Linked DNA regions of Ovis aries. Each later gene encodes a partner of the first gene's protein in a complex. Links are inferred from orthologs where the notes say so. Each region holds a gene or a part of one and is shown in the gene's direction. Other genes may lie near its edges.

The links.
Region 2: USP39 (region 1) and LSM7 share a complex: the UniProt entries of both Homo sapiens proteins name them as parts of the U4/U6-U5 tri-snRNP complex. The link is inferred for Ovis aries from reciprocal best matches to the Homo sapiens genes USP39 and LSM7.
Region 3: USP39 (region 1) and PRPF4 share a complex: the UniProt entries of both Homo sapiens proteins name them as parts of the U4/U6-U5 tri-snRNP complex. The link is inferred for Ovis aries from reciprocal best matches to the Homo sapiens genes USP39 and PRPF4.
Region 4: USP39 (region 1) and LSM8 share a complex: the UniProt entries of both Homo sapiens proteins name them as parts of the U4/U6-U5 tri-snRNP complex. The link is inferred for Ovis aries from reciprocal best matches to the Homo sapiens genes USP39 and LSM8.
Region 5: USP39 (region 1) and SART1 share a complex: the UniProt entries of both Homo sapiens proteins name them as parts of the U4/U6-U5 tri-snRNP complex. The link is inferred for Ovis aries from reciprocal best matches to the Homo sapiens genes USP39 and SART1.
Region 6: USP39 (region 1) and U6 snRNA-associated Sm-like protein LSm3 share a complex: the UniProt entries of both Homo sapiens proteins name them as parts of the U4/U6-U5 tri-snRNP complex. The link is inferred for Ovis aries from reciprocal best matches to the Homo sapiens genes USP39 and LSM3.

What each region holds. Positions count from the first base shown.
Region 1 is NC_056056.1:57,464,968-57,469,751, forward strand, and holds part of USP39 (ubiquitin carboxyl-terminal hydrolase 39), read left to right. Parts: intron 1-1,621; coding exon 1,622-1,716; intron 1,717-3,152; coding exon 3,153-3,289; intron 3,290-4,784.
Region 2 is NC_056058.1:19,031,999-19,037,414, forward strand, and holds the start of LSM7 (U6 snRNA-associated Sm-like protein LSm7), read left to right. Parts: upstream 1-1,817; 5' UTR 1,818-1,836; coding exon 1,837-1,842; intron 1,843-1,989; coding exon 1,990-2,080; intron 2,081-4,612; coding exon 4,613-4,684; intron 4,685-5,416. Other genes in the region: SPPL2B (signal peptide peptidase-like 2B), read right to left, coding at 1,611-1,817. UniProt on the Homo sapiens protein: Plays a role in pre-mRNA splicing as component of the U4/U6-U5 tri-snRNP complex that is involved in spliceosome assembly, and as component of the precatalytic spliceosome (spliceosome B complex).
Region 3 is NC_056055.1:10,446,454-10,451,842, reverse strand, and holds the start of PRPF4 (U4/U6 small nuclear ribonucleoprotein Prp4), read left to right. Parts: upstream 1-1,908; 5' UTR 1,909-1,992; coding exon 1,993-2,025; intron 2,026-2,761; coding exon of another isoform or gene 2,762-2,764; coding exon 2,765-2,942; intron 2,943-4,803; coding exon 4,804-4,990; intron 4,991-5,389. UniProt on the Homo sapiens protein: Plays a role in pre-mRNA splicing as component of the U4/U6-U5 tri-snRNP complex that is involved in spliceosome assembly, and as component of the precatalytic spliceosome (spliceosome B complex).
Region 4 is NC_056057.1:84,395,872-84,401,097, forward strand, and holds the start of LSM8 (LSM8 homolog, U6 small nuclear RNA associated), read left to right. Parts: upstream 1-1,994; 5' UTR 1,995-2,059; coding exon 2,060-2,090; intron 2,091-3,243; coding exon 3,244-3,284; intron 3,285-5,226. UniProt on the Homo sapiens protein: Plays a role in pre-mRNA splicing as component of the U4/U6-U5 tri-snRNP complex that is involved in spliceosome assembly, and as component of the precatalytic spliceosome (spliceosome B complex).
Region 5 is NC_056074.1:40,495,104-40,500,556, forward strand, and holds the start of SART1 (U4/U6.U5 tri-snRNP-associated protein 1), read left to right. Parts: upstream 1-1,702; 5' UTR 1,703-1,756; coding exon 1,757-2,069; intron 2,070-4,093; coding exon 4,094-4,151; intron 4,152-4,530; coding exon 4,531-4,586; intron 4,587-5,087; exon of another isoform or gene 5,088-5,128; coding exon 5,129-5,255; intron 5,256-5,373; coding exon 5,374-5,453. Other genes in the region: TSGA10IP (testis-specific protein 10-interacting protein), read left to right, coding at 732-864. UniProt on the Homo sapiens protein: Plays a role in mRNA splicing as a component of the U4/U6-U5 tri-snRNP, one of the building blocks of the spliceosome. May also bind to DNA.
Region 6 is NC_056080.1:116,710,419-116,713,977, forward strand, and holds U6 snRNA-associated Sm-like protein LSm3, read left to right. Parts: upstream 1-1,538; 5' UTR 1,539-1,551; coding exon 1,552-1,860; 3' UTR 1,861-2,163; downstream 2,164-3,559. UniProt on the Homo sapiens protein: Plays a role in pre-mRNA splicing as component of the U4/U6-U5 tri-snRNP complex that is involved in spliceosome assembly, and as component of the precatalytic spliceosome (spliceosome B complex).

The sequences.
Region 1 (4,784 bases):
TATGCGAAGAGTTGACTCATTGGAAAAGACCCTGATGCTGGGAAGGATTAGGGGCAGGAGAAGGGGACGACAGAGGATGAGATGGCTGGATGGCATTACCGACTTGATGGACGTGAGTTTGAGTGGACTCTGGGAGTTGGTGATGGACAGGGAGGCCTGGCGTGCCGTGACTCATGGGGTCGCAAAGAGTTGGACACGACTGAGCAACTGAACTGAACAGTATGTGCCTGGGCTTCCCAGGTGGCTCAGTGGGTAAAGAATCTACCTGCCAGTGCAGGAGATGCAGGAGACTTGGGTTCAGTCTCTGGATTGGGAAGATCTCCTGGTGGAGGAAATGGCAACCCAGTCCAATATTCTTGCCTGGCAAATCCCACCGACAGAGGAGCCTGGTAGGCTATGGTCTGTGGAGTCGCAGTCAGACACCACTGAGCACGCACACACATGATGTGCTAGGTACTGCTCTTGGTGCCTGGGATTCAGGAAAGGAAAAACAGACAAAGACATGTCCTAAAGCAGAGGTGGTCATCTCATCCCAGTGCATTCTTTGGTCCCCCAGATGCGTTACAGGATGGTTTTTCACTTATGCTCTAGTGTAGCCTTGACTACTGGACTGCTTTTGCAACATTGGAATTGCTCTTCGTAACAGTGGAATTGTCCATGTGGTAGGCACAGACCACTTGTGGCTGTTGAGCACTTGAAATGTGGCTTGAGGAACTGAATTTTAAAGTTTGTTTTAATTATTTTACATCAATAGTTGTGTGTGGCTAGTGGCCCCTTTAGTGGACAGTGCAGCTTTCCAGGGACCATTAACGATTAATTATAGAGTTAATGCTTGAGAAGGAAAACCCTTGGCACCTGTGGATTTAGTAGAGGTAACTTTTTTTAAATTACTTAACTTGCCTGGTACTCACCGTGACTTTGCAGTTGAACAGATAGATCTTTTTGTAGGTATTCCCCTACAATTCTTCAGGCTTCTGACTTTTTTTAATGGACAGAAATAAAATTTTCTTTTACGAAAGGGGTTATTTACTCTTTTTATGTCCTTCATTTTATGTCTTTTATTTTGGAATGTTGTTAGCACCCTGTTACTTTGGTCCTACTTGTGGCTTTTCCTCCAGAGAAAGTAATGGGAGATTCTCAACTGGTTGTGGATACTCAAAGAGGGTCATTGGTAGAGATACCTTTGCACTACTTTGGGGGTTGGTGGGTTGGGGCGCTATATTAAGTATCTAGGTGAAAGTGTTAGTTGCTCAGTTGTGTCTGACTCTTTGCGACCCCACGGACTGTAGCCCACTAGCTTCTCTGTCCATGGAATTCTCCAGGCAAGAATACTGGAGTGGGTAGCCATTCCCTTCTCCAGGGAATCTTCCCAACCCAGGGATTGAACCCGGGTCTCTTGCACTGCAGGCAGATGCTTTACCATCTGAGCCACCAGGAAAGCCCGAATGTCTAAGTAAGGAAGAGTTAACGTTCCCCATAATTTACATGTGATTGTTGACCTGTTCTTGGAAGGATGCTGCATGACGCTGGGGAGCATGGAGCCAACGGCGTTGCTTTACTCAGGTGCTCGCCTGGGCCACCATCACCATTAACTGTTTCTGTTTTGTTTTAATCTTCTTAGGAGTGTGCTGGACTTTGACTTTGAGAAATTGTGTTCCATCTCCCTCTCGCACATCAATGCATATGCTTGTCTGGTGTGTGGCAAGTACTTTCAAGGTAAATAAATATTTTGCATTGTGTTTTCAGCACTAGCCACAGGTCTGTGTGCTGACTGTGTGCTGTGTGCTGGCTAGCCGTAGGTTTTTGTTGTTGTGTTTTTTTTTAAGAGAGTAAGTTGCTGTTAAGAGTCATGTCTAATAAACTTTTATCTTTGTTCCCAGGAAATTGGAATACTCTTAGAAAATCCATAGGAGGTTCTCTATTTGTAAGAATCTGAATACATGTGAAAGGGAGAAAGAACTTGCCACATGTGAGACTGTTTGGGAAATCTCAGAAGTTCTAGTTTTATTATTATTTTTTTAAGGTGGTGGCTTTCTCTGCCTAATGCTGGTCGTCACCGGTGAAGGAGGACAGGCAAGGCCACTGAAGCCCTGCTGTCTCCAGTTCCACTGCCTCTGGCCCTGCTGCTATTTATTTAACTTTTCTGTTTGATTGTTTGGCCTGTGAACCAACCACGGGGGAGAGCTCTGGGATTGGCTGGCCCCTGGTGCTGACTGGCACTGGGTTTTTGAATCTCTGATATTTTTCTGTACTCAATGTCTTTTTCTGAGAATCCTTTTACTGTAAGGAGTTTTTTTCATTCTGTCCTTTTCTGAAAATTAACTGTATCAGTTTATTCAGACCAAGCTAGTGCAATTTGTGCAGTATAGTGGAGGATTTAGAAGAAATGTAAAGTACATTCCTTGCTCTTATAAGGATCTGATAAATAGTCAAGGGTAACACACAAAACAATCAGCAAACTCTCTTAAGACCATAAAGATTACTACTGGCCCATGTGGTACCGAGTGTAAATAAATAAGGACAATAGGAGTTGAAATATGCAAAGGTCACTGTTAGCTGGAATGTTTATGTCAAGTTCATGAAGGAGGTGAAGGAGGAACTTGTTCTCTGTATGCAGTATATACAGTTTGAATGGGTGAAGGGTGAAATATTCTAGAAAGGAGTGGTAACATGAACAAAAGTTACGTAGATATGAGATTGTCCTGAATGTGGGCAGCTGGAAAATTAAGACTAAGTAATGATGGAGATACGTACATATGTGTATGTACGTGTATTATTTATAATATATGCATGCATATCCCTAGTTTCTGATAGCACATGAAACTAGCTTGTATACATACACATATACTTACTCACACATGTATACATACACATATGCACATACTCACAGATAACCACACATTTTCCATATTTGTGTATATGAAATTAGTCCCCCTATGTTTTATGTTATCTAGAGAATAAAGTGCTATTCTTTCTTGCTGACTTGTATGATGAGAGGAATTCATGCGGAGATGAATTTTCAGGAGTGGTGTAGTGCTTTGTTTTTGCTGATATTAACATGTTCTGGTACGAAATGAAGAAGGGAAAATTACACACGGTCTGTGCGCTTGTGGAGTCTGTGCTTCGCTCACAGCCTTTCCTCCTTCCTGCAGGCCGGGGGTTGAAGTCTCACGCCTACATTCACAGTGTGCAGTTTAGTCACCATGTCTTCCTCAACCTCCACACCCTCAAGTTTTACTGCCTCCCCGACAACTATGAGATCATCGATTCCTCCCTAGAGGATATCACGGTGCGTGTCCAGGAGGGTTGGTTTGGAACTAGTTCTCTTGGGAGCTACCCCAGGGCTCCTGGGGATCTTCCCCACTCAAGGTCAGGAGAGAGTCTCAGGCCTTTGGACTTAGAGAATCTCCTTTCTCTTTGGGAGGAACCAGGGAAACTGAAGAAAGAGGTCACGTGTGCTCAGTCGCCTAGTCGTATCCGACTCTCTGGGACCCCATGGACTGTAGCCCACCAGGCTCCTCTGTCCATGGGGTTATCCAGGCAGGAATACTGGAGTGGGTTGCCATTTCCTCCTCCAGGGGATCTTCCTGACCCAGGGCTCAATCCTACTTCTTCTGCATTAGTAGGCAGATTCTTGACTACTGAGCCGCCTGGGAAGCCCCACAATTTGTAGTCATGGCCCATGGTCTGCAGCTTAGCTATTGTTTCTATTTTTAGTTAGGACTGAAGAAATAGGGCACCTTTGTAATTGGGGTGAAAGCATTTTTATGAAATAAATTACCTTTCCACACTTTGGTGTAGTGATGTGAATTGAGCCTGGTGTAGCCAGGTATAGGACAGAGATTTATACCAGCTCACAGCTCCTTTTTGGACTTCCCAGGTGGCCCTAGTGGTAAAGAACCTGCCTGCCTATGCAGAAGACTAAGAGACACGGGTTTGAATCTTCCCTGGGTGGGGAAGATCCCTGGGTGGGGTTGTTATTCCATGCATAGCAACCCATTCCAGTATTCTTGCCTGGAGAGTCCCCATGGACAGAGGAGCCTGGTGGGCTACAGTTTTGCGACTGTATACTCCATAGAGTCATAAAAAGTTGGACACAACTGAAGTGACTTGGCACGCACGCATGGCTCCTTTTGACATGATGTGGCCAAAATGGCCAGCGTGTTCCACCTGCAGGCTCTGATTTGTGCCTTATGCCAGGAGTCCCTGTACTTAAGTGGGGAGCCTGGAAAGTCCTCTTGGGCTTTGATTACTATTGGAACTGTTGATTATTGTTTTCCTTTTCAGCAAGGGGCTGCATGTTCAGTAGAGTGGAATGTTCTATTTAAGGAAAGCTTGGTGTTCAGAGTGTTTGAAACACTAACCCCACTTCCATAAGTTTCATAGTCTTGTTAAAATTGAAGTTTTAAGTGGTTATGCACAGAGGGAGAAACTGAAAGGAATTCAAGCCTTTTTTATAAAATTCAAGCTTTCAAAGTGAGTCAGTGGTGACTTCCCTGGTGGTCCAGTGGTTAAGACTATGCCTTCCGATGAGGAGGGTGCAGTTCGATCCCTGGTCTGGGAGCTGGGATCCCACATGCCTTGTAGCCAAAACAGCAAAACATAAAACAGAAACAAAGTGGGTCAGTGGTGCCCTCTGACCAGCCTGTGACCTAATGACCCTCATAGCTCTGGGACTGGGAAGGGTCTGATCCGCCCCTTTAGTCACAGGGAATCACAGCAGACCTCCACAGAGAGGGGGAACGACATTCTTGCTTATGCAGCAGCCTACATGCTGACCCTGC
Region 2 (5,416 bases), on another chromosome or scaffold:
AAAAAGGGGTGTGTGTATATATATATAACCGAGTCACTGTGCTGTACACCTGAAACTGACACAATATGGCAAATCAACCACACTCCAATAAAAATTAAATAAATATCTGCTATTAAAAAAATAAAAATCACCAGATTTCACACCTCCAGCCCTGCCCTCGTCACCTGCAACTTTCTCCCTGGAACACCTTCTTGACCCAGCAAACTCCTACTCATCCTTCAGAACGCCCCTCTGGTACCCTTGCTTCTTGCTTCTGAAAATCATTCCCAGGCGAACCACGCCGTTCCTTCTGTGGTGTTCTTGTGACCCTTCGCCCACCTATCGCTTTGCCATTTTTTTTCCTTTTTCTAAATATTTAGAGAGCTCAAAATCCCTGCTTCCAATGGGTCAGACTGCTGAGGGAGACGAGCAAATAGGGCTGGGGGAAATACAGGGAGCTGGCAAAGCACCTGGGGAGGAGGTGGGTCAGAAAGCTGCTGGAATGTGGCACCCCTAAGCTGAGACCAGAAACACAACGTTGGAGGGAGTTAGGTTTCAGGGAAACAGAGCCCAGTGAGCAAAGTGCCTTTAATATGCTAGAGTTGGAAACAAAGGATGGTTTCCTGTCAGCCGGATCACAGAGTCCTCCTGAATGTGTCAGTGGCACCAGAAAGCTCTCATTTGGACACAAGATCTGACACACTTTGAAAGAGATCCCTCCTGCAGGGCTGAAAATGAACTGGGAGTTTGGGGGACAAAAGCGGCCTTGGAGAGAAGCCAGCAGCCTGAAGCAGAGGTTGGGGGGCTGGCACAGAAAGGGCAACGTTAATGGCCCAGTTTGTAGGGCTGTTGGTGGGGGGGGCACCATTTCCGGAGTTATGGAATTTGGGAGAGAGGGAGGGTTTGGAAAATAAAAAATGCACTCAAGGTAACGTACATCAGCCATCTCCAGGTCTGTCCCCCAGTGGCGACCCTTGAGGTTAAGTGACAAACAAGTAGCATGCCCCACGTCCGGGATCCCCTACATCATCTCGCTGACTGCGCACTGTACACTTATCCTCCTTTTGCAGACGACCAACTCAAAGCGGGAACTCCCCTGCCAAGGTCACGGCAGAAAAAGATGGGGCGGCGATTCGACCCCATTCCAGGGCTGGGCTCCTGGACGCTTCTCGACGCCGCCAGTCACTGGGTGCCACGCTGGGCAGTTGACTACAACCACGGGGAATGGGGGTAGTATCGCTTTCAAGGGGATGCCAGGGTCAGAGAGGGGTAGCCCCCGACTAAGGCCACGGAGTCAGAGAGGGGAGTCCCAGAGGCGGTTGGAGACCCCGAGACAGACCAGCAGGGGCCGGGGCGGAAGCGGGGTAGTGGGACCTAAAACTTTAGGTCCGGGCGGAACCCAGTGACACCACGGCTGGGAACGGCGTCCAGACAGAGAAGGGAGACCGGCCGGGGGACAGACCCGCAAGGTCACGGTCGGGCCCCAGGCCCACGGGTTGCCGGCACCGGGGGCGCGGATCCCCTAAGCTGGCCCCAGGCCGGTCAGGGCGGGGTTCTGCGCGGGGCCAGGGAGGGGTGAGAAGCCGGGGCACCGTGGCCGGCGAGGCCAACGGGGTCGGCGCCGCCCTCACCTGGGCCGCGAGGAGAAGGAAGGCCGCTGCGAGCCGCGCCAGCGCCGCCGCCGCTGCCGCCGCCGCCATGTCGCCCGGTCCCCGCCACAGGCGTCGGCAGATGTTTCCCAGCAACGCCCCGGCGCAGAGCGCCGCGCAGGCGCCCTGCGTCTTTCGCGCATGCGCGCAGGGGTAGGTACAAAGGGCGCAGTGGCGGCGCCTGCGCATAGCGACGCGGCGCGACAAGATGGCGGTGAGCGTGCGGCGCTGCTGGTGGGGTTGGCGGGTTTCGCCGGGCTGGCGGGGTTCGCCGGGCTGGCGGGGTTCGCGGGGCTGGTGGGGTTGACTGGGGAGAGTCCAGCCGTGCTCCCCGCTTCACAGCGTTCTGCATCCCCTGCAGGACAAAGAGAAGAAAAAGAAAGAGAGCATCTTGGATCTATCCAAGTACATCGACAAGACCATCCGAGTGAAGTTCCAGGGAGGCAGAGAAGGTGAGGCCCCGCTGCCCTCCCCCTCCACAGTCCACGAGGAGTAACGGGAGGCGGTACCGGTAACGGATGCCTGGGCCGCGCTTTAGGCGCTTGGCTCGGACAACTCGTCCGGCCTGCTGCCGGCGCCGGCGTATAGGAACGGTTACACCCCTTTTGCAGGTGGGAAAACTGAGGCACGCAAAGGGGCCCAAACCTCGCCCGCAGCCACAGGGGCTAGGATTCAGGTCTCTGCTTCCTTTGGGTCTTGTCTCACCCTGGCGGCTGCCCCAGCCCCCCATGGGCCCCCTCAGCACCAGGGTTTCTCAGTTTCAGCACTGCTGACATTAAGACCGTATTGTTCTCTGTAGGGGGCCGTCCTGGGCGCTGTAGGGTGTGGAGCAGCATCTCTGGTCCCATCCACTCGATTCCAGGAGCCTTCTAGTTCTGATGACCACAGGCATCCCAGACCTGGCCTGGTGTTCCCTGGCAGGGGCAGAATTGCCCCAGTTGAGAACCCAGGCCCTATACTCAATTTACACGAAGCCACCTGAGGCACCTTTTGAAAGCAAACCTCATCTCCTTGTTCACCACTGTTCCAGGGTAAAGAATGAGCCTTTTGCTTTTGAGTGAGGCAGGCAGCTCTCAGCTGCTTTGGGAAGCTCTGCTTGACTCTGCATCCCAAGTCAGGGTCCTTTGGTATAAGCTCCTGGTAACAGCTGTCAGGGCTTGGCAGGTTTTTTTCAGTTACTGTGAGGCTTTAACTGCATCTCCCTCTGCGATCTCGTGAGGAGACTGGCAGGAAAGATGATGCAAGGTTACGTGGAGAGTGCCGTCCAGGGCAGAGCCCCAGCTCACTGGCTGTGGGACTTTGGGCAAGTCGCTATAATCTCTGAGTCTGTCTCATCTGTCAGAGGCTGTTAACTCCACTTACCTCAGCAGTGGTGGTGAAATTAAAGGGTAATGTCATTAGCCAAGTTCCTGACACTTAGTCAGCACCCAGTGCTTCACTTATTCAGCTATCTCTGATCTTCAGTTTCTTTGTTGGTAAGATGGTGATTCAGACGACTCCTCCTCTGAGATGTGGACGCCTGGGTAGCATCAGAGTGGCTAAAAACACAGTGCCTGCCCGTCTAGGTACCCAGCCCAGTGAGGCTCTGAATCTGAACAAACACTGGCACCATGCCGGTTCTGGGATGTACAAGGAGATGGGGCTCCTGCTTCTCAAGGCGCTTGTGTTTGTCTTTTTTTAATTAATTTAGCTGCATAAGGTCTCAGATGTCAGGCCAGGTCTCTCTAATTATGCCATATGGGCTTAGTTGCTCCATGGAATGTAAGACCAAGGATGGAACCCACATTTGCTGTACTGCAGAATGAATTCTTAACCACTTGGACCACCAGGGAAGTCCCTTCTGTTCATTTTCTGTGCTTCAACAACCCATTTTTATCTCACAGCACCTGTGGTTCCAGACTCCAGGTGCCTCAGGCTCAGGTCTCTGACGAGGTTGCAGTAAGGGAGCATCTCTGGGAGCCTGTATCTCAGGCCCGGGGTCCTCGTTTTCTGGCAAGTGTTGGCCAGGGACCCTCTGGGCTCCTAGAGGCTGCCCACTGCCTCTGCCACAGACACTGTCCACAGCATGGCAGTTGACTCCTTCAAGGCTAGCAGAAAAATCTAATTTTTTCAACTTCTCTTTTCAGAAAGGGCCCATCCTTTTAATGGCTCACCTGTAGGTCAGGCCCACCCAGCATAGCCTCCCTTTAGATCCACTAAGAGTGGACTGATTCATGGACCTTGATCACATCCACGAAGCCCTCTGTTACAGCCTGACCACAGACTGACGTCTGATCGAGGGTCCCATCTCACATCAGAGGGAGGGGTGGGGGAATGCTGGATTCATCTGAAAATCCCACCCACCTGCTGCGGCACCTCCCCCAGTAAGAAGGGAGGATCCACAGGTGTGGGCTCACTACCCAACCCGGGGCCAAGTGCCCAGATGGATTCTGGGATTTGTCACTCTCCATCACCCCACTTGGTGAGCACCGTCACAGGGTTGAGGAGGGCTGTCAACAGCAGAGGAAGCAGAGCCAGGGCCTCGCACTCAGGCAGGCCTGGCAGACTTGTTCTGCAGAAGACCAGACAGGGAACATTTTCAGCTGTGCTGGCCAGACGGTCTCTGTCGCAGCTCCTCAACTCCACCATTCAGCAGCTGAGCTGCCACAGCGACATTTACCAAATGAGCGGGGCCGGGCTCTAGTTAAACTGTTTACAAAACAGGCGCAGGCGGATTTGCCGACTGTTGCAGTGGCAATGGTGTGGGGTCAGCTGTCACTGCTCGTCTCCTGGGAGCCCTTCCCTTGCTCCCCCTTTGGTCCTGCATCTGTCCTGTCCCTGAAGAGGCTGCTGCCACGCCTGCGTCTGGCTGGGGGGTGGTCCCTCACCAGTGAGGGCACCCCAATTTCATGTGCTGACACCCTCGTGCAGCTCGCACTTTACCCAGAATGACCATTGATCTTATGCTTGTCCATCTCTCTTCTCTGCTTGGTGATTCCGATAAGCCAGTGGAATCCTGAAAGGGTTCGACCCGCTGCTCAACCTCGTGCTGGACGGCACCATCGAGTACATGCGAGGTGAGTGCAGCTGCAGGGCTCGGAAGCATCCTTCCGAGCAGTAAGGCCTTCTTTACTGTTCCTAGGCCGCCGCCCATATGCTGAGCCACCGTGAATGTGGCGCCTAGTGGGTCAGACTGCTGACAAGTGTGTTTGCTTTGCCACTGTCCTGGTGGGGCTCAGTACACTGTCACCTCAGGACTTCAAGGGTAGAGTGTTCTCCGGATTCACTCGTCACCGACCCTCAGCACTTGCTGGAGTTGAAGTCTGCCTGGTGGGGCTAGAAAGGTGCTGCACCTGCCACAATAAAGCTGGCTTCCAGGGGCCTCATCCTGCCCCCTCTCTCCTGCTGTCTCTATCTGTCTACTCCCTGCTGCTGACAAAGGGTCCCCTCCCCTTCCTTTCCTGTCCCCGTCTCCACAAGTCCCCAGACCCACCAGCTCAGCCTGAGTGCTGCACGACGGAGCCCCCAGGTTCAGGAGAGAAGGGGGTCTCACTCCTCCAGGGACTGTCGATGTTGAAGTACACATTACTCTGGTGCAGAGTAAATGCGGCCACACACAAGTGTCAGAAGCCACCAGGCAGAGGCCCTCTTTGTGGGAGGAGCAACCCTGTAGGGCCTTTTGCCTGCCCTTGTTTTCTCTCTTCCCTCGGGGTTTACCCAGAGTCCTGCTGCTGGGGTCCTGGCCCAGCCTCCTCAGGCAGATGACATTCTGAAAAAGGACAGCCTCACCCCCGTGGGGCTGCTGGGAG
Region 3 (5,389 bases), on another chromosome or scaffold:
TCAAACTCATGTCCATTGAGTCAGTGATGCCATCCAACCATCTCATCCTCTGTTGTCCCCTTTTCCTCCTGCCTTCAATCTTTCCCTGCATCGAGGTCTTTTCAAGTGAGTCAGTTCTTTGCATCAGGTGGCTAAAGTATTGGAGTTTCAGCTGTGGCATCAGTCCTTCAATGAATATTCAGGACTGATTTCCTTTAGGATGGACTGGCTGGATCTCCTTGCTGTCCAAGGGACTCTCAAGAGTCTTCTCCAACACTGCAGTTCAAAAGCATCAATTCTTCAGCGCTCAGCTTTCTTTATAGTCCAACTCTCACATCCATACATGACTACTGGAAAAACCAAAGCTCTGACTAGATGGACCTTTGTTGGCAAAGTAATGTCTCTGCTTTTTGATATGCTGTCTAGGTTTGTCATTGCTTTTCTTCTAAGGAGCAAGCGTCTTTTAATTTCATGGCTGTAGTCATCATCTGCAGTGATTTCGGAGCCCCTCAAAATAAAGTCTGTTACTGTTTCCATTGTTTCCCCATCTATTTGCCATGAAGTGATGGGGCCAGATGCTATGATCTTAGTTTTCTGAATGTGGAGTTTTAAGCCAAGTTTTTCACTCTCCTTTTTCACTTTCATCAAGAGGCTCTTTAAGTCTTCTTCACTTTCTGCCATAAGGGTGGTGTCATCTGCATATCTGAGGTGATTGATATTTCTCCCGGCAATCTTGATTCCAACTTGTGCTTCATCCAGCCTGGCATTTTGCATGATGTACTCTGCATCTAATAAGTTAAATAAGCAGAGTGACAATATATTGCCTTTACTATGCCTTTCCTGATTTGGAACCAGTCTGTTGTTCCATGTCCAGTTCTAACTATTGCTTCTTGACTTGCATACAGATTTCTCAGGAGGCAGGTCAGGTGGTCTAGTATTCCCATCTCTTTCAGAATTTTTCACAGTAAATAGGCATTATTATCGGAAAGAGGCCTAGGGGAGAGGAGGGGGCTCTTTCCAGCTCTGGAAACATCAATATTTTGAGCATCTCCACCCCCTACAAGGAGAAGGAAATGGCAATCCACTCCGGTACCCTTGCCTGGAAAATCCCATGGATGGAGAACCCATGGGGTTGCAAAGAGTTGGACACGACTGAGCGACTTCACTTTCACTTTCACGCCCTACAAGGGGGCAAGAATCTTGTCTTGTCCGCCTCTGATGCCCCAGCACCCAGGGCAGCAGAGTCGTGCAAGTTGCTTGCTTGCAGTTTACCTGACGCCTCACATTCATCATCTCTCTCGGAATAAGACAGAAAGACCTGCTGAAGACAGCAAAAGCGGGGCGTGGCTCCTCCGCCTGGTCTTTATTTCACTTCGGCGCTAGAGGGCTCTTTGAACTTATTGTTTCACCACTGCCCAAATTCACCGAAAACCTACCCAGCCCAGAAGAAACTGCCAAGAGAACTTCCTGACAGTGGAGGAGAACAGCACTCCCGCCGCAGCTCCTGGGCTGCACTCAAGGGTCCAGGGCGAGAGTTTCCATGGCAACATAGGCCTTGGCGCCAGGAGGACTTAGAGCCCCTGGCCGGGCCGGGAGCCGATAGTAGGCCCCGGAATCCCTCGATTCGCTCCCTGAGTTCAGTTCGCAGCCGCGCGATTCCCCGCACCTACCTCTTTTCAGGCCTGTTCAGTCCCTTTCCGGAACCTCGGCGCCCACCCCGAATCATCCGCTAAGCCAACTGGACTACACTTCCCACACTGCCTCTGAGTTTCTCTCTTCGCAGAACCTTGGCCTCCGCGTGCTTCTCTCTGAGGCTCTACAGATCACATCTCTCAACTCGCCCAGACTCCCTCCTACTACGATTCCCATAATGCTCCACGCCTCCCAGGATGCTGCGTCGGACCTAGGACCACTTCCGGTTGGTGACGTAGTTCCGCTTTGCTGGGCGCGCGGTGGACGGTCTGAAACGTAGAGCGCGGCTTTCGCTGAGGCTTCGCGTCCCCGGAGCCCAGCATGGCTTCCTCACGACCCTCCTCCACGGTACAGGTCTCATTCTGGCAGGGAGCGCTGAGGGGGTGGGGGGGTCCCTGCGAAACAGGGCCATTAGGGAACGGGCTACGGCGGTGGAGGGCCGAGGAGGAAGGCTTCGGTGTTTTCCTAATTCTTGGGTGCTTCCATCTGTTTTAGCTCGTTTTCACCTCTCACTCCAGCCCCGAAATGTAAATATCTCTTCCGTCTGGTTCAGAAACGGAGCTCTGAAAGGGAGTAGAGTCTTGGCCAAGATTTATGACACTTTCAGAACTCTTAATTGTAACGAGGCCTCCTAACTTATCTACTGCTTCATATCCGAAACGTTTGAAATGTATGAACAGTAGCTTTCTAACTTGGCCCCCGTACCATCGCGTTGGTTATTTCAGTTATCCTTGATACCCCTGTGATGAGCAGTAATTGTGGAAATTTCATAAAAGCCAAGAAGAGATTTCACCTGCTGCAGCCGTATGAAATACACATATTCAAGAGAAAACCTTTGACAGAAAAATCAGCACGAGAAATTGACTAGTTTTATCCATCTCTTCCTATCTACAAAACTTAAGTGATTAAGAGACTGGAACCACTCTTTCCCTCCACCCCCAGATTAAGGAAGACACATTTTAACTGGTGTCTGGTTTGTCCTTTGTGTGGGGAAGAAATAGGTTTGAAGCTCTAAATAAGCTTCATTCTGCTGCGAAACCTATTAGGCTGCTAAGATTAAGCTTTAGGTTAACCTAGGTCTTTGTTTTAGCAGGCAACCAAAACTAAGGCACCAGATGACTTAGTGGCTCCTGTTGTGAAGAAACCACACATCTATTATGGAAGTTTGGAAGAGAAGGAGAGGGAGCGTCTGGCCAAAGGAGAATCTGGGCTTTTGGGAAAAGAAGGACTCAAAGCAGGAATTGAAGCAGGAAACATTAACATAACCTCTGGTAAGATTCAAATTGTGAGTTCATCTTTACCTTTGGTGCTCAAATTTTCTGTAATGATTACCTTCTTCATCTTAAATATCACTAGTTTATGTCAAGAAACTACAACTAATAAGCTTGCACCTATCAAAGTCCATATTCTCCACCTACCTGACTTGGTCTTATCATCCAAAGAACCTTTTTCTTAAAACCTTTTATACAGTTTTCCTTCAGTAAACTGTTAGTAATTTTACTAGGAATTTATTTATTCAGTGTGTATTTGAATTCAGAGTGATTTCCTTTGTCTTCTGGAGATCTAGTGTAGTTCTGGCGTTAGCTTGGAGCTACTGTGTTTCCTAATATTCTCCTCTTTTTAGTTTTTCAACTGTTTTTCACCCAAAATGAAATTATCTCTTCTAAATTTTAAAGTGATAGCCATCTTTATTTTGAAAGCAATTAAACAATAAAGAAACATATGAAGTAGAAAAACCTGTAATCTGTATTAATTGGAGCTATGTCATTTCAAGAACTTAATAAAGCTATAAAAATACACTTTTTTTTCCCATAAATGAAATCACGATAAACCAATTGTTTTGTAAGCTGCGTTTGTCATTGTGATACTGTTAAATGGGCTTTCCTGATGGCTCAGTGGGTAAAGAATTCACCTGCAGTGCAAGACACAGGAGACAAGGTGGCTTTGATCACTGGGTGGGGAAGATCCCCTGGAAGAGGAAATGGCAACCTACTGCAGTATTTCTTGCATGGAAAACCCCATGGACAGAGGGGTCTGGTGGGCTACAGTCTACCAGCTCTCAAAGAGTTGGAAACAAGTAAGCCAGTAAGTATGCACACACTGTTGAGGGTATTTTTTCATGCCAGTAACTAGTAGTCTACTATATTTTAAAAATAAAATCATTCATGTTTGTCATAAGAAATTCAGAAAGTATGGAAGGGTATAAAAAGACTTCTGTGCAGATAGGACTTCTGTTGTTTCTCATCGACCCTCCCACACATTTTCTTTTCTATACGTGTGCACTTTTCATGAGTTTTAAACCTTTTATGTTATTTTAAACATGACTGCATCACCCTTGTACTTCTCACTTCTCATCCAAATGCTTGTTTTTTATGTGAGTTTTAAAACTAGCTACTAGATTATCCAAAAAGCCTTGTAGTTAAGGCTTTATCATTTTCATGGTAATTATTTCCAGTTCACTGTTAGATTTGTTAGTGTTCCTATACTGAGACTATTTCAGAGAGTAGCTTTGGCAACTGTTGAAATAATGTTTCTATTTTGCCATGGATAGAAAGCCTAGATAACTTGTTAAAAGTGCTCCATATTCTCATTGTCTCATGAAGGCTGTGTGTTTATGTAAGTGTAAGTTGCCAAATGAAACAAGATGACTTGAACCAGTTTCTGGCCTTTAAAACCTCATTTAGTTTTCTGTGTTTGGCATACTTTAATAAACTGAGAAACTAAAGTTTCTAACAGATTAGTTAACTGTCCCTAGAGGCATGCAGCGGAGAAGGCAATGGCACCCCTCTCCAGTACTCTTGCCTGGAAAATCCCACGGACGGAGGAGCGTGGTAGGCTGCAGTCCATGGGGTCACTAAGAGTCGGACACAACTGAGCGACTTCACTTTCACTTTTCACTGTCATGCATTGGAGAAGGAAATGGCAATCCACTCCAGTGTTCTTGCCTGGAGAATCCCAGGGATGGGGTAGCCTGGCGGGCTGCCGTCTATGGGGTTGCACAGAGTTGGACACGACTGAAGCAACTTAGCAGCAGCAGCAGAGGCGTGCAAACTCCAGTTGTAAGAACTTATTTCTCTCTCCTTAATTAAAGAAGATTGGTGATTATGCTGATATTGCCTGTTCTGTTTATAGGAGAAGTGTTTGAAATTGAAGAGCACATCAGTGAGAGACAGGCTGAAGTGTTAGCAGAGTTTGAGAGAAGGAAGCGAGCCCGGCAAATCAACGTTTCCACAGATGACTCAGAGGTCAAAGCTTGCCTTAGAGCTTTGGGGGAACCCATCACACTTTTTGGAGAAGGTCCTGCTGAAAGAAGAGAAAGGTACCCTTTCTAAGTACTTACTCTTTTTTAATCACAGGATTATAGTTCCAGATTTTAGTTGTTGTTGTTCAGTCACTAAGTCATGTCCGACTCTTTGTGACCCCATGAACTTCCCTGTCCTTCACTGTCTCCCGGAGCTTGCTCAGGCTCATGTCCATTGAGTCAGTGACGCCATCCAACTGTCTCATCCTGTCGTCCTCTTCTCCTCCTGCCCTCAGTCTTTTCTAGCATCAGGGTCTTTTCCAGTGAGTTGGCTCTTCGCATCAGGTGGCCAAAGTATTGGAGCTTCAGTTTCAGCATCAGTCCTTCCAATGAATTTTGGAGGATTGATTTCCTTTAGGATGGACTGGTTTGATCTTGCTGTCCAAGGGACTCAAGAGTCTTCTCCGACCCCACAGT
Region 4 (5,226 bases), on another chromosome or scaffold:
AGATATATGAAGAGAGTAACATGTAAACTTACATTACCATACGTAAAATAGATAGCCAACAAGGAATTTGCTCTATGTCTCAGGAAACTCAAACATGTGCTCTGTATCAACTTAGAGGGGTGGGATGGTGAGGGAGATGGGCGAGAGGAAAAAATAGAAACAGCACCCCTAACTGACATCCTAAGGCAATTTTGTACAAAGGAAAAATAACTCTGGTATTTTGTATATGGATTTTTTTTTTTTCTAACTTCAAGTCCTTTGAATCTAGAGTATCACAGTAAAATAAATGTTTTGTAGTAACACACATTAAATATCCAAAATGATAAATGGGGTAGAATTTAAGGAACTGAGGCCCAGATGAGCTGATGTCACTTGTGCAAGGATACACCATTTCATTAGCACAGCAGGACTAGAACCCAGTCTGCTGCTTATTTAGCAAGCTCTTCCATAATCAGTCCTTTCCAGGAATAAGCAGCGGACCTGCCAGCCTTTTAAAAGTAACTGATTTTATAACCTGAGGAGAGGGAAACTTTGGGGTGTGGTGAAAGACTGTTTCCTAAGGAAGACTCACACTCTACCATTTGGATTCAGTCCCTATTAGCTCAGACTGTCAAGCATCTGACTCAGTTCAGTCGGTCAGTCGTGTCCGACTCTTTGTGACCCCATGAATCGCAGCACGCCAGGCCTCCCTGTCCATCACCATCTTCCGGAGTTCACTCAAACTCACGTCCATCGAGTCGGTGATGCCATCCAGCCATCTCATCCTCTGTCGTCCCCTTTTCCTCCTGCCCCCAATCCCTCCCAGCATCAGTCTTTTCCAATGAGCGTCTGCCTGCTGCTGCTGCTGCTGCTGCTAAGTCGCTTCAGTCGTGTCCAACTCTGTGCGACCCCATAAACAGCAGCCCACCAGGCCGGGGTTCTCCAGGCAAGAACACTGGAGTGGGTTGCCATTTCCTTCTCCAATGCATGAAAGTAAAAAGTGAAAGTGAAGTCGCTCAGTCGTGTCCGACTCTTAGCGACCCCATGGACTGCAGCCCACCAGGCTCCTCCGTCCGTGGGAGTTTCCAGCAAGAGTACTGGAGTGGGTTGCCATTGCCTTCTCCAGAGCGTCTGCCTACAATGTGGGAAACCCGGTTTTGATCCCTGGGTCCGGAAGACCCTTTGGAGAAGGAAACGGCAACCCATTTCAGAACTCTTGCCTGGAAAATCCCATGGACGGAGAAGCGTGGTAGGCTACAGTCCACGGGGTCGCAAAGACTCTGACACGGCAGAGTGACAAAATGAATGAGTGACAACGCCGCCGCGATGCACCATTTAAAAATTTTTTTTAACAACAAAAACATTTGTATTGGGGTATAGCCCATTCACAATAACAATGGTTGATAGTTGCGGGTGAACACGATGCAGCACTTTTAGAAGCAAATGCAAACTGCGAACATGCTTTTAACTACTGACTTCTCCAGATATGTATACCATACGGTACAACTGTGGAACTTTGTCCGGGGTCGTTTAGCTTCTAAAACGTTAATTTTCGGCCTCTGCAGTACAAAATTAGGGATTCCACATCCGGGCGTCTACACTTCATACCAGAACAGCACTAGTCTCTACTTCACTTGTGGGGAAAAAAACACACACAACAAAAACCTTATTCGGTTTTCTCCTGCCTTCCCCATCTTCTCTCAACATTTCCCCTTAGTAACTTCTGCCACTAAAGCCTTCCATTCCGCTATGAAGCGCGCTCGCCCACCTTCTCCCCATCTTCAGGGAGCTTCTTTCTTTCTTTCTCCCACCGCCCGTTCTCTTTGGTTCTTTCCGGCTTCCAATATCACCCGCAAGAGCAGAAACATACTGCACACGCGCATTAAGGCCGTCGTCGCTTTGCATCTCGGGAATGCTTGGCCGGTTTCTTTCAGTCTCTGATTCGCGGAGGCCGCCCTGCGGTAGTTCTCGCGGTATTTGCTGCCGCCAGTCGGCGAGAGAGGCTGCTGTTCCCTGGCGGTCCTTTCTAGCTCATCTGGACGCCGGGGCTCTTGTGTTTCCAGTTGCCAGGTCGCGTATCATGACGTCCGCCTTGGAGAACTACATCAACCGTACCCTTCAGTCGGCTATCGCGGGCATTAGCTAAGGCCTTGGTGAGGCCCACGTCTGGCCCCGGAGTGGACCAGTGCTGGAAAGGCCAGGGGTCGGGATCGGCGGGCGGTTGGGGCACCGAGCCACTGACGGGCTTGGGTCTCGGGGTGGGGATACAGAGGTTAAGGAGGCTCACCCCTGGGACTGGAGCCCGCAGCTCCTGCTGGTCCAAGGCGTCTTAACTTGATGGAAAAGCCGAGCAAAACCGACAAGATTATTCTGAACTTTTCCGTGTCTCTATAGAAATCAGTTATTGATTCACCCTTTCCATTTCCCTCGGGCCTATACGTTCACGTTTGGGAATAAGATAGTTTTACCAGCTGCGACGGTGGACTCACAAATCTATGTGTTTGTTTTATTCATAGGCTTTGCTCAGTCTTCAAGGATAGCAGAAACTTTACAGATGATGCAAAAATCGAATGTCTGCCCCTTTACCAGCTGAAATCTCAACTTTATTGTTGATGGAATTAAAATAATGCTTGCTGTTGTAATAGATCGGCTTGTGGGGCAAATAGCTTTAAAAAGCTCCTGTAATAGTACTCTATGCACCATTTTAAAGTCTCGGGACAGAAACATTACGTTGTGCTCTCATGTACAAATTTGGGACAAAAGTGGAATGCTAAAGGTTTTTCTTTTTAAATGATGCAAGCATATTGATACTTGTGATATTGATTATAGTTTCTTTTGAATTCCAGAAGGCAGGTCCTAGAAGACAGTGTCTTAACGTATTAAATCATTTGACATTGAATAGCACTCATCCAATTTTCGTTTCAGAGATGATGAAACAGGTTTAAAAAAAGGAAAAATATCTTGCTCAATTTTCATATTTGCAATATTCCCTCATTAAAAATGAGTACCAAACATCCCAGCTTGTTTTAAGATAGAATACACTGATCTCATAAAAAGGATGTTTTCTATTTTTCCTTTTTTAGATTGTGTAGTTGTCACAGAGAATTAAGAACATACAATTTTATGTTGTAAATGTGGCTGTGTTAAATAGTTGTATCTTAATTCTGTCACCTTTTTTCCTAGTAATTTAAGCCATTTACTTACCAGATTTTAAGTTTTCAGTTTGCATTCCCTTAGAAATGCTTTCCTTGATTCAGTTATCAGGAACTGTTGCTGTCATTACTTCTGATGGGAGAATGATTGTGGTAAGTATTTGGTGTATTCATTCTCTGCTTTCTTTTAGGCTTTTCTGCCTGTGATGCTCAGTTGTCCCAGACTCTTTGTGACCTCCTGAAGTGTAGCCTGCCAGGCTCCTCTGTCCATGAACTTTTCCAGGCAAGAATACTGGAGTGGGTTGCCATTTCCTGCTGCAGAGGATTGTCCCAACTCAGAGATCAAACCCGGATCTCCTGCGTCTCTTGCATTGGCAGGTGGATTCTTTGCTGCAGTGCTACTTGGGAAGCCCACTCTTGAAGGCTTACTGGTTGTAAATTTTTATGTACAACCTCTGATCTCCAGTGCCTAGGCACCAGAGTACACCTGCATTGCAGTTTTCTTATGATTCAACTCTTTATCTCTTTGATAAATAGCTGCCAATCCGTTTTTTTTTTTGTTTTTTTCATTAATAAACATTGGCTGTAAGTTACATACAAGGCTTCTTCTAGAAGCTTGGATGAATAACAGAATCTGCCCTTAGAGAACTTCTGGTCTAGTCTGCAGATATTTGTCTATATTTTGTATTTATCTTGCTTCATCTTTTATTTCCTTCCTCATTTAGTGCTCTGACATCTACTACATGAATCATACAGGTTGTTTTTTTTTTTTTTTTTTTAAATGTGTGTGTGTGCTTTTTGGAAACTTTTAAAAAAGATTTAGATACTACCTCTATATAATGAACATTTAAGACATGTACATTGTTAATCTTCAGATATTCTTAGGTTGTAGAATCTCGTGCTTCTGTAGAATAAATTATGATGAATATTGAAGTGTATTTCATCTCATTTTTCCTTTTATCGCTGTATCCCATTTTAATTCCAGAAAAGTCTTGGATTCTCTCCTTGATCTGAGGAATTTATTCCATGATTTTTGGTGGCTTAATTTCATTTATAATTCATGATTGTTAACTTTCAAAAAAGTTTTAAGGCTGCTAAACTTTATTGTCTTCTATAATTCATAGAATTTGTTCTTCTATCTTCCTACTCTGCAACTGATGTTTTTTTCTTTTTAATCCTTGGGGTTTTTCTCAGTGGGTCCTTAAGTGGCAATTACCAAGTGTCAGACTTTGCCATTTATTAAACATGTGTCATGTACCAGGCATGTCCCGTGTGTTACATCACTTAATCCTAGTACAACTCTGTGAGGAAGAACTAGCCCTGCATTCTAAGCTAAGAACCTGGATCAGAAAAAGAGTCACTTTCCCAGAGTCATATGAATGTATGTGGCAGAGCCAAACTGGGATTTAAACTAAATTTGACTCCAAAGCCTAAGGCCAGTCGCCTTGCTTCCTTTTTAATCAAGAGAGCAGTCATGGTTTTGTTTATTTTTTTAAGGTACTTCACATTGTATTTTGTCAAATTAAGAGAGTTTGAAATATTTTAATCTCATCTTAACTTTGAGAAGTTATAGCTATTAAGAAATATTTGCAAATAGTTTTTTAGTTTGTGGAAACCTTGGGTTTAAAATTTTTTTTTAATGGTATAGATGATAAATTGGAAATTTGTTTTAACTTTATAGAAGGAAAGCCATTTAAAAAGAACATTTCGAGAACTAAAGTTCAGCAGTTCTGTATTCCTTTGACACATATTTCACTTGATAGAATTTGTTGAGTCGCTAAGTTATGTCCTACTCTTTATGACCCCATGGACGGTAGCCCACCAGGCTCCTCTGTCCATGGGATTTCCCAGGCAAGAATACTGGAGTGGGTTGCCATTTCCTTCTCCAGGGGATTTTCCCAACCCAGGAATTGAACCCACATATACTGCATTGGAGGGAGAAGGCAATGGCACCCCACTCCAGTCCTCTTGCCTGGAAAATCCCATGGGCGGAGGAGCCTGGTAGGCTGTAGTCCATGGGGTTTCGAAGAGTCGTACACGACTGAGCGACTTCACTTTCACTTTTCACTTTCATGCATTAGAGAAGGAAATGGCA
Region 5 (5,453 bases), on another chromosome or scaffold:
GAGGCCCAGCTGTGGGGAGATAGGGCACGGCCACCAGTACCCTGCCCCGCGGGGTCTCAGCTGCCGCCTGCCCCGGGGAAAGGCTAAGGGGCCTCCCCCGCAGCCACATGGGTCCACCCTGAATTTAGACTTCCATCCTGCCCTGTCCACTCCCTGGCCGGGAGGACTCAGTCTAGCTTTCGCAGTCAGCAGGGCCGTCCCCGGGCCCTGTCCTCCATGTCACCTGAGGAAGGCAGGGCCAAGGTTATTTCCCCACAGAACGCTTACACTTCAGAACAACCTGGTGCAGAGCAGAGGTTATCAGGCTTCGGGGGCGGGGGTAGTCTCCCACTCAGGGTCTCAGAGTGTAAGAGCCACATTTGAAACCACTGACATTGGTGATGAAGGCCTTGCCCCTCCTACAGCCCAGGTCTCCTTGGTTATGGGGGTGGGGAGTTGCAGAGCCCAGTGGTCTCTACTTGTGTCTTCATCTTTAAGGGGCCACAGGTCAGTGGGGGCGAGAATGGAGCCCTCTTCTCAGAGCCCCCCAAAGATGGAACACACTGGCAGCCAGGCTGACCAGCACTTCGCCCCAAATCCAGACCAAGAGTTGAGTCCCTGAGATAAAAATTAAATGCTTTGTGGAAAACACGGTGTGGGATTTCTGGCGGTGGTGGGAAGTGGCTGTGGGTTGGGAGCAGGCCGTGGCAGGTGGGTATGCAGCACGCTTGGCTTGTGCTCACATCCCCCAGGAACCCTGGCTGTTGCGACGGCCCCCGCCCAGCACACACGGCTGTGTCTCTGCCCAGAGGAGCGAGTGGGGCATCTCCCAAGAGCAACAGCTGCAACTCCTACCAATGCTGGGTCCTGGAAATTCAAGAGTGAACAGGACAGAATGCCTTCCGCCTTTGGGAACGCCCAGTCCTGTGGGGGAGGGGGCGGGCCTTTAAAAGGGCGCATAATCACACCCTAACAGATGGGCTGGCAGATCGAGCAACTGGCAAGTGGGGGTGTCAGGAGGAATTGTGTGAACTGAGCTTTTAACTACAAGTTAACAGTCTCCTCAAAGGAAAAGAAAAAGAAAAGCTCACACACACACGGATGTGCCAAATTTTGCATTCGATTTCAGGGGGTTTACAGATACACAGAAGCTCAACTCGACCTCCGGGGCAGTCGCAGAGCTCAGGTTAAAAACCCAATCCAAGGAGCGTGGCAAGGCAGCGTTGGCAGACAATACTAGATGTAGGGGTTGGAAGGAAGCTGGACTGTGGAGCTGGGGGCCTCGGGAGAACATGCTACGTCGTTTAACACCCGATGGAGCCACGACCCCAGGCAGTACACTAGGAGGACGCCACTGGAGAGGTGGACCCTGCCCAGAGACAGTCCGTGAGCCAGTGAACATCCGTAATTGAGGGTGTGAAAGCGGAGGGAAGCCGGGAAGGGGCTTCCAGCTCTGGCGATCCTGGCTTGGATGGTCCCTAGGTCCCATTCTGGGATACTGTCTTCCCCAGACCCAGTGGCGAACCTTGAGGCGCGCATGCGCAGTCGGCCCCCCGGCTCAAAGACCGCTACCCCGGCTAGGCTGGCTGCGACTGCGCAGTCGGGTTCAGATCCCGGCCTTCCCATGAGCCTTTGGGGCAGGCTCCGAGGCAAACGACGGAAGCAGCCGCTCTTGGTTTCCGGCAACAGGACACCGGCTGTCGGGCGACCCGGAAGTGTTCCCATTTTGCGTCGTCGGGGCTCGGCGGCGGCCGGGCTCGGGGTTAGACAGACCACCATGGGGTCGTCAAAGAAGCACCGCGGGGAAAAGGAGGCGGCAGGAACTACAGCAGCGGCCAGCACCGGGGGCGCTACCGAACAGCCGCCTAGGCACCGGGAGCACAAAAAACACAAGCATCGGAGCAGCGGCGGCGGCAGTAGCGGCGGCGAACGACGGAAGCGAAGCCGAGAGCGTGGGAGCGAGCGCGGGAGCGGGCGGCGCGGGGCCGAAAATGAGGCTCGCAGCAGCACGCACGGGCGGGAGCGCAGCCAGACAGAGCCCTCCGAGCGGCGCGTGAAACGGGAGAAGCGGGATGATGGCTACGAGGCCGGTGAGGGGCCTGTGCAGGGGGCGGGGCGACCGGAGGTGCCTCGGGTATGTGGGCTCTGGGTATGGAGGCCGAGCGCACCAGGCCGAGGCATCCTCTGGCTTTTTCGTCAGCACTTTCTAAAGGGTCTTCCTATGGCTATTTGGGACTGAAGGTTGTCTTTCTTTGTTAAACTCTCTGAGGGTAGAGATTTTCTTTGTTTTCCTCACGACCCCTCCCTGAATGTGTTGAATGAATGAAGCGATGGTAGCATGTGCAGAGGCAAGAACAAACATGTTGTCAAAGTTGTGTAGAGTTCATAGGAGAGACAGCAGTCTGTAAGAGAGACACGGATCTGAACACTAAGGGCCATATAGGCCCTGTTAAGAAAGTGAAACTTGTTTTGAGAGGAAGCCATGAATTTGAACTGACGAGTGAGTTGATCACATTCATATTTTGCAAAGATCTGGGAGAAGGGCAGTAGAGACTGGAGGTGAGATGAAGGCTGATGGTGGCCTGCACCGAGGCATTAGCCATGGGATGGAGAGACGTGGACAGATTGGAGAGGTGTTTTGGAGGAGGAGGTGATGGAGCTTAGCATTTGGATGAGGGCTGGAAAGAGAAGAAGGAATTGAGGGTGTGCCTTGAATTTTGACTTGAGCAACTAGTTGAGTGGTAGTGATCTCTGCTGATGTTATCCTGGTGGTTCAGTGGTAAAGAATCTGCCTGCAGTGCAGAAGACAAAAGAGACAAGGGTTCTATCCCTGGGTTGAGACGATCCCCTGGAGGAGGGCATGGCATCCCACTCCAGTATTCTTGCCTGGAGAATCCCATAGACAGAGGAGCCTGGAGAGCTATAGTCCACAGGGTGGCAAAGATTTGGACACAACTGAAGTGACCGAAGCACACATGCACAGTGCTGTCGACTAATTTCAGGAGTTTGGAAGAGAAACAGATTTTTGGAGGGAGACAACCGAATTCCGTTTTGGAGAGTGTTGAATTTTATGTGCATGGAGAAACTCAGGGCTTGGGCTGGATAGAGCAGTTTGGGAATCATGAGTGTTTAGGTGGCATATGAAGTCCACTGAGAGACTAGGAGTAGGAAGCCTACTGGTAGGAGAACCTGATAAATGCTAGTGTCTTAGTATTACGCTGAGCAGGAGGCTACGAAAAAAGGAGGTAGGCTGTCCCCCAAAGCAGGAAAACCATAGAATCTCGTGTCAGGGGATCTGTGGGAGTGATCATCTGTGTCACACACTGCTGGAGACCAGATGAAAACCAGAGCTGAAAAGAATCCTTGGGGTTTTGAAATAAGGAGGCTGGTGATCTTGGAGAGAGCCTGGAGTGGTTGGGATTCAGAGTTCAAGTGGGATAAGGTACAGAGGTAGGTTGTGAGGCGAACATGCTGGAACGATGAGCTGTGGTGGCGCCTGGTAGGGGCAGCTCCGTCTGAGTCCGAATCTGACTTCTGCATGTGGTGTTCAGTGAAGTCACTTGCTGTTTGTGAGGTGAGTAGAGGATGTCCTAAATGCTCCTGTATCTCAGTGATCTCAGCAACATTACAGAAGAGGCTCCAATAAGTATATTTCTTCACTGCATGAATTACACAGAGGGCATAGTTATGCTGCCAAGATGGTCCCTACCCTGTGAGGAGAAGCAGGTCCAGAAATGACTGTGGCAGTGTTGTGCAGAGGAGAGCAGGTCATGCTGATCAGTAATGGAGCAGGACTCCAGGGAGGAAGTGGGGTCTGATAGGATTTTGTTAACAGCCTGAGGCCAGAGAAGGCAGTGTAGGTTGAAAGCACAGGATACGCAAAAGTGGAGAGGTGGCGAAGTGAAGGATGTAGAAAGCTGGACCCTTTGGATCAGGAAAGGAAGGTGTGGGGAGAAGCAGCGTTCTCAGAGCCTGGGACTCGGATGGAAGGAGCTCCTGGTTGGGGGGAAGCAGGCCGAGGTGCTGACCTCGTCTTCGGCCCTGCACCTGGAGCCAGGGCTGCGGCTCCTGGGCCCAGTGCTCTGCCCCTGAGCCTTGCTGCTTCTTGTTCCAGCTGCCAGCTCCAAAACTAGCTCAGGCGATGCCTCGTCACTCAGCATTGAGGAGACCAAGTAAGTCCTGTCTCCTTTTCATTTCTGTGTTTTCTTGTGGGACAAGCAGCTTCTGGGGTAGCTGTCTGGGGAGGCTTTCGCGTAGTACATGTTCTGATTGAAGTTGGAAGTGTCATGTAAATCATCCTAGCCAACCAGCTGAGTTCCCGAAGTGGACTCTGAGGCCCAGGAGAGCATGGCCTTGCCCTGGCTAGGGGGCAGGCCAGGCCTTCCGGCTGATTGGGAGGCCGGTGCTCTTCCCACTGCTGGGTCAGGCCCTAGGTTTGAGACCCTTCGGACCACTCAGTCCCTTCCTGTTTTCTCCCCCTCTTTGTCCAGAAATGCATTTGGTGCCCCCATTTCTTGGACAGCTCATAACACTTGTATCTCTTGTCCTCAGTAAACTCCGGGCAAAGTTGGGGCTGAAACCCTTGGAGGTCAATGCCGTCAAGAAAGGTGAGTGTGGGGCCGAGGGTGATGGGAGAGAGCGCATTTGGGATCAAGAAGTGAGGCTGTCTGGAGGGATTTTTGAAGAAAGTGGGGTTGGAGTGCAGGTCAGCACCCCTCAGTGGTCCTGTGTGGGTGCTGGCTGTGGCCTTGGGGTTTCCTTGCTGCTGTGATGGGGTTTGGGATTCGGCTGCTTGTTTAAGCTTGAGCAATTGACGTGGCAGCCTCAGTATGGCTGCGAGGTAGCGTTAAAGGGACCAAGAGATGTGCACAGTGCTGCACACTCATCTGCGCTGTGCACGTGTTGGGTTTTTTTTGTTTCAGTTTGGTTTTTTAAAGTATGACCAGAGGGGCTTTGGAAGGCATGGAGGGTCCCCTCTTCTTGGGGGGGATGTGGGAATGTGGGGTTGCCGGGGATCAGGAGGCAGAGGATTCTTCCCTTGCTTCTGGCTTCTCTGGCCCCCTGAGTGGGACGGGGCAGCGTGAGTGGCTCCCTCCTTTCCCCACCAGCCTTGGGCAGGCATAGCCTCACGCCTGGGCCTCCCTTCCAGAGGCGGGCACCAAGGAGGAGCCCGTGACAGCCGATGTCATCAACCCCATGGCCTTGCGACAGCGAGAGGAGCTGCGAGAGAAACTGGCAGCTGCCAAAGAAAAGCGCATCCTGAACCAAAAACTGGGGTGAGGGTCCCCGCCAGGTGGGCTCAGGCAGAGTCTGAGGAGGCACCCCGGAGATCTGGAATCGGGGTCGGGGGAGCAGGAGCTGGTTCTCCAGAGGATCTTTCTGCTCTGTCTTCAGGAAGATTAAGACCCTGGGGGAGGATGACCCCTGGCTGGACGACACCGCGGCCTGGATCGAGAGGAGCCGGCAGCTTCAGA
Region 6 (3,559 bases), on another chromosome or scaffold:
TCCTTATCCTAGACCTAGGCCTTATCTGATTTCCAGTAGATTTGGGATTATAATTGATTATATGACTCCTGTCTATTCTTTGACATTTATTCACTCACATCCAATGCACTCAAAATATATTCATTGAGTGTCTACTACTAGTCACTGTGATAGATACTAAGGATAAAGTGGTGAACAAGACAGACATGGTCTCTGCTTCTGTGGAGTTTAAAATTTAGCAAGAGAGATAGTCCTTAGTAATCACAGTAATGAATGTGCTCAGTAGCTCAGTCGTGTCCAACTCTTTGCAGCTGCATGTAGCCCGCCAGGCTCCTCTGTCTATGGGATTCTCCAGGCAAGAATACTGAAGTGGATAGCCATTCCTTTCTCCAGGGGATCTTCCCCACCCAGGGACTGAACCCGGGTTTCCTGCATTGGTGGGCAGGTTCTTTACCATCTGAGCCACCAGGGAAGCACCCATGACTTAGTACAGCAGGGATACTAAGGCAGACATGTGGACTCCTTTGTTGGACAACTTTGGCTCAAGGTCTTGCAGAAGTTTCCTTAGACTGCCTGGTAGTCTCAACTGCTTCCATACATCCTTTTCTCTTCTTTCCCTCCTTACCAGTCAGGCTTCACTCACAGCTCCTTCTCTATTTTCTTTTTTTTTAAATATAAATTTATTTATTTTAATTGGAGGTTAATTACTTTCATACAGTCATTTCTCCTAATAAAATCTTGCCGTGTTTAATCTTGTTTTGACAAGAGCTTCTTGGAGGTGTAGAATAACATAAGTAGAGTGGGTATTTGAGATTCAGGAAACAGTGTTTACTTCCTAGGCCTAGATCTGAGTCACATGACTTGGTAAGAAAACCCAAAGCTGTGAGACTTCAAGAAAACTTAATGTTTGGTAGCTGTATATGCATGACCAGGTTATCAGGAATAATAAAGTCAAAAGGGGTGAGGAGGAAGATGCTGGGGCACTGGCTGCAAGCCCTGTCGTTGCCTTCTGCCATCCAAAAGCTGGGGAAAGATCTCTGAGTGTCTTGGGGAAGCTAGTATTTTCATTCGGCACCATCTTACGTGGCTGGCTCTGGTTTGTCGGCCTGGCTCCAGATGTCATTCTTTTCCTCCATGATTACCAAGTGGTTGCTACATCATCACGTGAGAAAATACTGGGTAACGCAGTAGAGAATTTGGGATCCAGGCTTTACTTCTTTCCTAAAGATGATCTCATTTGGTCAAGGTCTGTCTTCCAACTTCCAAAAATCTCATTTTTCTTGGTTTCAGCTTTTCCACAAGTTCTTTGCTATGTCTTTTGTCTTTGTAAACATGAAATGTTTTATTTTCTTCACTCAATTAAAATGCGTTTTGTGGGGACTTCCCTGGTGGTCCAGTGGTTAAGAAAGACTTCACCTTCCATTGCAGGGAATATGGGTTAGATCCCTGGTCAGGGAGCTAAGATCCCACATGCCTTGTAGCCAAAAAAACATAAAACAGAAGCAATATTTTAACAAATAAAGACTTTAAAAACGGTCCACATTAAAAACAAAACTTAAGAGGGTTTGAAAGATGGCGGACGACGTGGACCAGCAACAAACCACCAACACTGTGGAAGAGCCCTTGGATCTCATCCGGCTCAGCCTGGACGAGCGCATCTACGTGAAGATGAGAAACGACAGAGAACTTCGAGGCCGGTTACACGCTTATGATCAACATTTAAATATGATATTGGGAGATGTGGAAGAAACTGTGACAACTATAGAAATTGATGAAGAAACATATGAAGAAATATATAAATCAACAAAACGGAATATTCCGATGCTCTTTGTGCGGGGAGACGGCGTTGTGCTGGTTGCCCCGCCATTGAGAGTTGGCTGAAACGAGAATCCGCCGCCTGTGGGAGACGGGCTGTGCTGTGCGGTGGCCTCTTTGAGTGTGGAAGATGTTCCAAAGAGAGACCGATGTGCATCTTGATGCTGAAAATAAGCAAGAATTCTTCCACTCCTGAAATAAGTTGATTTGTAGATAACTCACAAATACTTCAGCTAAACGGCATTTTTATTTTTCTCCAACCCTTCCAATAAATGTGATCGGCGCGATACAGAAAAAAAAAAATAAATAAAAAAATAAAAAATAAAAAAAATAAAAAAAAATAAAAAATAAAAACAAAACTTAAAAAAATATTCATATGTTTTCAGCTCTTCCTTTCTTTTGAATTCTTTTTTTTTTTTTTTTTGGTGGGGAGAAGTACAGTTGCTTTACAATGTTGTGTTAGTTTCTGCTGTACAACAAAGTGAATCAGCTATATAGCTCTCTTCTTTCCTTAATATTTATTTATTTGTTTGTTTGCCCTGGGTCTTAGCTATGGCACACAGGATCTTCAATTTTGTTGCGACATGTGGGTTCTTTTAGTTGTGACATGTAGGATCTAATTCCCTGAATGGGGATTGAACCCCAACCCCCTGCATTGGGAGCCATGTGTCTTAGCCACTGGACCACCCAAGAAGTCCCACAGCTCTCTTCTTGAAGAGGCAGGTGTGTGTTCTGAAAAGAATGGGAATGGAGATGGAATCTCGACTCTACCACTTCCTACATGTGAGACTTCGTGGAAGTTAATTTTATGAGCCTTGATTTTCTTGTTTATAAAATGTAGATAACACCACCTACCTCCCAGGATAGTTGTGAGGATTAAATGAGTTATGGTATATAAAAAAGACCTTGTACATAGTAGATATAGAAAATATTAGTTCCCTTTTAGCTCCCATACCAATGAAAGTCTTGGGAGAGCTATTTCCATTTTAGTTTTCCCACATTTCATTTATCTGAGGACAAATAAGTCCCTTTTCTTGTGCATTACCTTTTATTATTCAAATCTTCGGTGCATTCAAAACTCATATGGCAAGTAATTGACTCATCATAAAGACAAGGAGCTTACAGGGCTGCAGAATGAAAACCTGAAAACTACTAATTAGAATCCATTCATTCATTCACCTATTTATTCACCTAATATTTCTCCTATTATGTCTCCCCTGTGTGAGGCTAAGTGTCCCCAAGGCTTACATTTTCAGGATAGATCATAGCATGGAATTGGGAGCTATGTAAAATTTGTCAATCATATATCAGGATCCCAAAAGATTCTGGGCCACATCCCAATAGAGGGAATAGTTCAGTTCAGTTCAGTCACTCAGTCGTGTCCAACTCTTTGCGACCCCATAGACTGTAGCACACCAGGCTTCCATGTCCATCACCAACTTCCGGAGTTTGCTCAAACTCATGTCCATCACCAACTCGATGGACATGAGAGGGAATATCATACTAGTAATTCAGTCTCTCTTGAGGCCCTGGTGACCCTCCATGCTGTGCGAGTCGGCTTTTCCTCTCCAGCTTTTCCACTACCTAGCTATAGAAGACTAGGCAAGTTACTTAGCCTTGAAGATTTTTTCATTTGCAAAATGAAGTGAATATAAATATTTTCCCTCAAAAGTTGTTATGACAATAAAATGAACTATCCTGTATAAAGTGCTTACCACAATGCAAGGCCCATAATAAGTACCCACTATCTATCACCTTTCACCAC